Oryctolagus cuniculus: one gene and its partner. The protein of the gene in region 1 interacts with the protein of each later gene in a pairwise test. Links are inferred from orthologs where the notes say so. Each region holds a gene or a part of one and is shown in the gene's direction. Other genes may lie near its edges. The genes, in order: PLEKHA5 and PDZD11.

Region 1 (3,817 bases):
GTACATTGCTGTGCATAAGGATTCTGCAGAACACTTTAATAGCAGCACCTTTTGAGGACTGAAGAACTTGCTAACACAAGAGGGAAACGCTGTCACGTGTGCATTTGAATTGATTGTTGCTGGTTGCTCTGGGACATTATTCTTGAATAAAGAAAAGTGAATTGCCATACATGAAAATTGCCAGAGCATATAGATGGCACAGCACCACTGAGTTCTGCTTTTCCTCCTTCTCACATTTTAGAGTATACACAATTAAAAGAAAAGGGATAAAGTTAAGGGAAAAGCATTAAGTGTATCTTTTTCAAGATAAATAATTATATGTTTTCTTACGTCATTCCAATTTCTTACATAAAAGACAAGTCTACTTTCTTAAAAATTTGACAGTAATGATCTATGCAAGGGACCACTTATCTGTTTTTCTTTTTCTTTTACAGAGTCCCGTATTTTTCTTTAAAATGATCGTGTCATTTTCAATCAGGCAGCCCATCCAAACATGCGGACCTATTATTTCTGCACTGATACAGGAAAGGAAATGGAGTTGTGGATGAAGGCCATGTTAGATGCTGCCCTGGTGCAGACAGAACCTGTGAAAAGGTAAAGGCCTGTAGGGAAAATAATACTGATCGCCACTTCCATTGTTTTCCATGCCTAGCAGGCACACCATTGTCGTGGTACATAGCACGTTCATAGTCATGACATGGAATCATTTTGTTCCGCAGAAAGCAAGGATTAATTCATGTTCTGTGTTAATTTAATGCACCTTATTAATTTGAAATATTGCGTACATTTTATTCCACCCTTCTTCTTTACTCATTTTCACTTATCAGCTTACTGAGGTGACTCTAGAATCCTAACATTCAAACTGAATATTCTTTCTTCTTACAGAATTACCTTTAATTTCCGGTGAGTACATTTTAAATTGTTATCTTAAAGCTATGCAGACTTATAGCCTTTAAGACAGTGTTTTTTAAGATCCTGAATCTTAGCATCTACTTTCATAATTCAATTGTTTTTATTTTCATAGAGTTAATTATATTTTTATAGTATGTTGAAGGTTTTTGAAGTTTAGTAAATTATAGTAAGTTTTGATGAATTTTATTTCTTCAGCATTTTCTGGTAGACTTTAATACTTATTAAAGGATTAATATTTGTTTATTCAGAAATAGTTCATCAAGCATTTAGATGATTTTTAATCTGTCCACTTATTGGTGAATTGTGCCTTCTTTGTTCTGAAAACTTAGTATTAAGATTCCTTGATACAGATGTGCACTATGAAAATTTACCTAAGTGTAGTATTTTTCCCTGCTTGATGATACTATCATTTTAATATTCTTCCATTATATTAAAGAAAAAATCAGAGGAAATCTGTTTCTCAAACTGTAAATAAAAATTGAATAATGTACTTCTTAAGAGATTATATTCCTATAATTTAAAGGTAAATTTATAACACAATTAACTTTTATTTCCTGTTAGTGACAATTATGCATGTATTTTACATAAGGAAGATGCCAACATGCAGGTTTGGTCCTTTTCCCCCTCCTCAGAAAATTAGGGGATTGTTAACAGTGTCAATCTTGAGTCTTTTTTTTTTCTTCCTTATTGGCTAAAAGACTTTAAGTTGAAGCTGTATTTCTGCAGTTTTTATAAATATTAAATCTAAATCAAGTTAGCCACTCACTACTAATTAGATACTGGAAAAAGCATAGAAAGAAAAAGAGAACTTAAGTTGGAGCTCTAGGCACTTACTTTTAGGGAAAACCACCTCTACCTACGCGGATTCTAATCTAAGAGCCCATAGAAAGAAAATCTGCTTCTGGAATTCCAGGTGTAAAACTTACCTGAAGGGACATAAAGATGAGGTGGTAAGCATTGAGAAGTAAAGAAAATGTGTAAGTAAAAAGAATTAACTTAGAATCTTAAGTAGTCTTACATTTAATGTAAAATTTGAAGATAATTTTTTAGAATATGGAAGTCAATAACTAAAATATCTGAATTTCCAAGTCATTTCAATAATCTGTTATACTTTTCCCAAAATTTTAACTTATTTCCATTTATTTTTATTGAATTTGCCACTCTAAAAACTCACAGTTAATTCTCATAATTCGGGGTGATACAGATGATGGTTGGCGTTTTTGTTTGCTTGTTTTGTTTGTTTGACTTCTTGCAACCTAGTAGTTGATTTATGTGCCCGTCACCATCTTCAGCCAGTTGTGTTGGTGAAATTGGCTCAGTCACCCAGGAATGATTATGCATCACTGTGTGTCCAGTCTGGAGACAGTCACTGTTACCTCTGCAAATCACATCCTTTCTTCTACTCCCAGTTGCTGACAAGTTTATCCCATCCTTTTAGGTGTGGTCATTCTGTGTGAAGGTATCTAGTATTTCCTATCTAAAGCATAGGGAAATTTTGCTTGTTTAGTTTTAAAATATTAGACTACCTTTGCCTTGTGGCCAGAATACTTACAATTCGTATCAGGACATATCACCTAAGAGATGAAGCATCAAGTTTTTAACTAAATGGTTTCATTTCATCAAAATTTATGTAATATTTCCCCCTGTGAAGTACAATGTCATAGTCCCCTAGTATGTACATCACTGATAGCATAAAAGAATGCTGAGTGTGGTATACATTCCATAGATAACGTTCATTTCCAGGCCTGTTTTTTTCACTTTACATTTCTCAGTGAATTTTCTACACTGATTCAAGTGTCAACTATTTTAAAAATTAGATCACAAGTTTTACATTATTTATGTTGATCAGTATACTTCGAGTCAGCTTTCCTCCACTTAGGGAAAGTCATCACGAATATCTTTTTTGATTATATTTCTTCAATAATAAATCTTTGGGGAAAAAAAGTCAATGCACTTCTACCTTTAAGTGATAGCTTTTGATAGACTAAAGACAAATGAGTTTGAAACATCTTTTCAAATATTTAGTAACCCTCCACCCCAGAATTCAACAAGGAGAAATGTGCTTTTTGTGGATATTTTCTGACTTTTATTCTTCCAGGAAAAGAAACTCCATAACCTACATAGTGAAATTTCTCAATGTCTAATATCCCTTCCAGCCCAGAAACTATGATTTGTTTCTAACCTAAGAATGAATATATGAGCAGTCCAGAATTTTAATCCAAGAACAGTTTTCACATTTGTTTTCACTTTTTACTCAATGACTGTATGTCTGTAGATACAAATAGATAGATATAGATGCTTTCAATTATGGTTGAAGATAGATATATTTGTATGAGTCTATGTATTTCCCACACATCACAAAAATGGGCAGCAGTCCCATGGGTAGGATCGGGTAGGAGGAGTGTTGTTAGCTATTGAGACGTGGAAGGCTGGCCAGTTCCTCTGAGGCCTCCCAGAGTGACTTGATCTTGGCAGTTTGATACACTTGCAGATGCTCAGCTTGACCTTGTCAGAGACCACAAATGACTGGGCCAGAAATGCTTAATGGGATGGAATAACAGTGGTAATAAGGTTTGTACCAGCCACTGATTTACTCAGTCGGTTCTCACAGCAACCCTTAGACCTTGGTGCTATGTTACACCCATTTACCAAACAGGACATTGAGGCCTGATAAGTTTTTGAACTTTGCCCAAAGATGCAGCCAGTAAAAGGTGGCATTTTGAGCACAACCTAGGCAGTCTGGCTTCCCGAGCTCTCACACCACGCTCAGGTCGTCTTGAGTGCAGACAGAGAAAGTCACAGGGCACAGACCTTTGATAGCATCAACTCTATTTCCTGTTACAACCATTTCCACAACAGGCTCACACTAACCCTCCTGGCTAGGAGCCACATCATTCGTACCAAG
Region 2 (4,319 bases), on another chromosome or scaffold:
GGGCTTCAGGAAATCCCCTGCTCCATTTGAAAAGAATTCTACTCATCACTCAAAAGCTATCTCCAAGGTTCCTATGCTGTGAGGTTCACCCCAAATCTCCTGAGCAGAGTTGGTGCTGTCCTTTTGTTTGTCATGCTACTCTGAATGAAATCAGGGTTTCTTCTACAGCAGAACTGGGCTCCATTGCATATTTTGAACTTTTAAAATATATTTTCTTAAAGTCAGGAGCGAACAATTTAAAATTGCTTATGTATTCCAAGTTATTTTTGTATTGATGTACCTCCTCTCCCACTCCCCGGACTTTCAATGCCTTCGGGGCCTGGAAGCTGCATTACACATCTCTGAATAAGTAATCCTGGGGCCTGAACTTGCAGCAGGTGGCCACGCTGTGCACCACTGGCACCTGCCAAAGAGCTGTCATCTACTGAGACTCCAGAGCAAACAGAAATGTACACAAGTCAAAGATGAACACAAACACCGAAAGCAAATACGGCATAAAACGAGGCTGTGGGCATTTCATCCACTCCTGTATTTGCAGCACCCGACCACACAATGCCAGGCACACAGCAAATGCCCAAGACACTTTCGACGAATTGAATAGCCTCACCTTTAAAGATGCCTTTTATGAGTGGTGCCACTGCTGTATTGAAGACCTCTTCCTGTTCGGTAGAAGGATCAAACACAAAATCGTAGGTAAAGGATTTATCGGTACCAACCACCACCTAGGAAAGGCAAGGGACAAGGCCTAAGGAAAAAAAGAAAGGCTAGACCACGCCCCTCGTTGCCAGTCGGCCCCAGCTGTTCAGAGATAGGCGGTGGACTCTGTTACGCACCTGAGGCTCCCCGGGCACGAAGGAAAGGCACATCTGGCAGCCCTCGCTAATCTCCTTGGGGACTAGAGGGCGACATCGCAGGGCCACTCGTACGGGAATCCCCTTCACCTCTTCTTTCATGATCCTACCTCGGCACGGTCTCTGCAGGAGGAATTAAGAGGGGGCTTGCTGATGAATTTTGGTAGGTCTGATTGGGGTAGGAGGTCGACTTCTCGGTTCCGGCGGAGGGTGGGGGAGGGTTACGAAACTCAGCCGAAGCGGTGGCAGCCTTCCCTTCCAGCGAGATCGATACCTCCGGAGGTACACACTTCCTTAGGCTTGGCTACGATGGACGGCTGCTCAGCCCGACAGCGTCTGAAATGAAGAAAAAAAAAAAAACTCCAGCGGAGACGTCGACAAAAAGCTATGCCCCAGGCTACCGAAACAGGCAGATTCCGAGCCAAGGTGTGCCCCCGTAACTCACCAAACTAAATGTCCCTTTTCCGGTCTTCCCCGGTCTCCCGTGGCCCTTTCCTAAACGGAGCTTTAACCGCCAAGTTTCAAATCGATTCCTGAGGCGCCAGCCAATGGGAGCGCCCACAGCCTAGGGGCGGAGCAAGCACGTCCGCGCGCGCACCCAGACGCCGAGGTGGGAGGGGAAGGGAAGCTCGTCGCAGCTCGGTACCGCCCCTTTTCGACCCCGGCAAACATCCGCTTCCGGTTCCCAGACTTCAGTGGTGGTGCGCTGGCCCCGAGGTGTGTGAGTCCGGCCCACCGGTAAGGTGGTTCGGCGTTTACGTTGTCGTGACTGCGGGAGTCAGACAGGATGCGAGACGGGAATATATATATATATATGTATATATATATATATATAGAGAGAGAGAGAGAGTGGCTGGTGGTGGAGGAAGGGTTGACCTGGGGAATCCCACCCTTTCTAATCGCACCCAGGAAATGTAGGGCTGTGCTTGGCCCCCAAGACCCTGGAGCAAGATGGAGTCCTCACTCTCTTGGACTTCGAAATTAACGTTTTTGCAAAAATTAAGAAAAAAAAAGGGGGAATTAAGGGAGGAAGGGAAATATGGTTATTTTCTTAGAATTGTACCTATGAAATCCGTTCTCTTTATTAGTAATAAAAAATTTTAATGAAAAAAATTTAGGCGTGACCCCAATTATTTTTTCTGTAAGATGAAGATGTTAACATCAATTTCATGGGATTGTTTTGATAAATTAGGTCATCTCTCTAGAATACCTAGCAGGTTGCTTGACATCCATAGCCTGCTTAGCAAAGTAAGTCATTTTGTTCTGTCTTTTCTTCCTTCTGTCCTCCAGCGTAACACCTAGGTGTGGGCTGGGCCCATACACTGACAGCCTTGCCGTGAGTCAGAGCAGCTTTCTGAAACTTCCTGGGCTGCTGTCCATTTGGAACTTAACTTTTGTCTGCTTTGATCCACCCTTCCACTCTAGGGCCTCGCCCGAGATGGACAGCCGGATTCCTTACGATGACTACCCAGTGGTTTTTCTGCCTGCCTATGAGAATCCCCCAGCGTGGATTCCACCTCATGAGGTGGGAACAGTTTGTATTCCTGAGTAGGGGAATCCTTCCCTCCCTGCCCCAAGCCCAAGGTGATACATGAAAGGTAGAATGGTAGGGTTAGAAATGAAGCTCAGTAGAGAATGAATGTTAGCCCTTAGAGCCAGAGGACCCAGAAGCTGGATTTTGACCAATAGGCCCATTGGGAACTTGTTATGGAAACCTGCTGCCAAGGTCCATTCACACCGGTGAGTCCTAGTTCCCTTTCTGTCAACAGATGAAAAAGTGGGGAGCTACTGGGCTGTTAGTATGTTCCCGTTCTGTCCATCTACTCATTTGGCCAGGTTATCAGTCCAAGTAACAAATTGGCTATGTGTGTACCTTTTCCCGACTTCAGAGTGAGGCGTTAGTATTCCAGAAGAAAGTAGGTGTGAAGTCTAAGACCAGTAGTAAATTTCTGGGGTTGCCGTTACTGTGTTGCAGAGAGTATACCACCCAGACTACAACAATGAGCTGACCCAGTTTCTGCCCCGAGTCGTCACACTGAAGAAGCCTCCTGGAGCTCAGGTGAGCTGATAGGAGCCCCTTTCTTACTCCAAGCAAGATGTATCCATGCCAGAAGGTGGCCATGGTTGGGAAGGATGGATTGGTAAGCTGAAGGAATTCTTTTTTTAAAAAAAAAAAAAAAAGATTTTATTTATTTATTTTTGAGAGGTAGAGTTACAGACTGTAAGAGGGACAGAAAGGTCTTCCTTCCATTGGTTCACCCCCCAAATGGCCGCTATGGCCGGCGCTGTGCGGGTCCGAAGCCAGGAGCCAGGAGCTTCTTCCTGGTCTCCCATGCAGGTGCAGGGGCCCAAGCATTTGGGCCATCTTCTACTGCTTTCCCAGGCCATAGCAGAGAGCTGGATTGGAAGAGGGGCAGCCAGGTCTCGAACTGGTGCCCATGTGGGATGCAGGCGCCACAGGCGGAGGATTAATCTACTGCACCATGGTGCCAGCCCCGAAATTCTCCTTCTTGTGACCAGGGAAGTGGAGCTCCCGCTTCTACAACTTCTGACTTCCCTCTGAGGGACACACAAGCTGAGCCCTTGGCACAATAATGCTACTTAGGAGTTCTTGTGTTTGTGGTCTGTATTGAGTGTCTGTTCTGTGCTCTTGCCTTACAGTTGGGATTTAACATCCGAGGAGGAAAGGCCTCACAGCTAGGCATCTTCATCTCCAAGGTGCGTGTGCCTGATGGGCAGTGGAGATAGCTATTTTCGGTTGTCAATTTAGCGGCTTGCAGATCCCTGAGGCCCCAAGGGCTGACAGAAGGATGCTTTGGTGGACTCCATGGAAGGGGCATAATGAGGACACTCTCTTTCCACTTAAAACTCTCTATTTGGCAAGCCATCTGTCTCTCTACTTGTCAGAGAAGTAGTAGCACCTTACACTTGGATAGCACTGAGCTTCCCTTACAGTCTTCAGAAGTTACCTCCCTCCCCATCACACGTGTTTTCTCTTTACCAACAGGTGATTCCTGACTCTGATGCGCACCGGGCAGGACTTCAGGAAGGCGACCAAGTACTAGCTGTGAATGATGTGGATTTCCAGGATATTGAGCACAGCAAGGTGAGCGCAGCACGCAGGCTGTGGTGATGCAAGAAGTCATCCCAGCTAGGACAGGTTGGGCAGGACTAGCCTAATCTGTAACTTGATAAGCAAGCTTCTCTCTTGGGGAAATGGACCCAAGGGAAGCAGCTATTCATGGCCCAGAAGGGTGGAGTGGGACGTCCCTTTGCCCTGCTATGGTTCTCTCCTGGGTCATTGTCTTCATTTGTGTAAGCTGCTGTTGTGTGTCTTGCAGGCTGTGGAGATACTGAAGACAGCCCGTGAAATCAGCATGCGTGTCCGCTTCTTTCCGTATAGTAAGTGCCACCCTCTTTTGTGTGTGTGTGTTTTTGAGAGAGAGGTAGAAAGACAGAACTCCTGTG

What was found.
Region 2: the proteins of PLEKHA5 (region 1) and PDZD11 interact in binary tests that used the Homo sapiens proteins (3 or more experiments, as listed by UniProt). The two-hybrid records come from large-scale screens. The link is inferred for Oryctolagus cuniculus from reciprocal best matches to the Homo sapiens genes PLEKHA5 and PDZD11.

The regions. Positions count from the first base shown.
Region 1 is NC_091440.1:116,939,959-116,943,775, forward strand, and holds part of PLEKHA5 (pleckstrin homology domain-containing family A member 5), read left to right. Parts: exon of another isoform or gene 1-478; coding exon 479-594; intron 595-885; coding exon of another isoform or gene 886-903; intron 904-3,817.
Region 2 is NC_091453.1:50,184,848-50,189,166, reverse strand, and holds the start of PDZD11 (PDZ domain-containing protein 11), read left to right. Parts: upstream 1-1,435; 5' UTR 1,436-1,568; exon of another isoform or gene 1,569-1,589; intron 1,590-2,276; 5' UTR 2,277-2,289; coding exon 2,290-2,376; intron 2,377-2,826; coding exon 2,827-2,910; intron 2,911-3,512; coding exon 3,513-3,569; intron 3,570-3,858; coding exon 3,859-3,957; intron 3,958-4,192; coding exon 4,193-4,253; intron 4,254-4,319. Other genes in the region: chromosome-associated kinesin KIF4A, read right to left, coding at 608-722, 834-953. UniProt on the Homo sapiens protein: Mediates docking of ADAM10 to zonula adherens by interacting with PLEKHA7 which is required for PLEKHA7 to interact with the ADAM10-binding protein TSPAN33.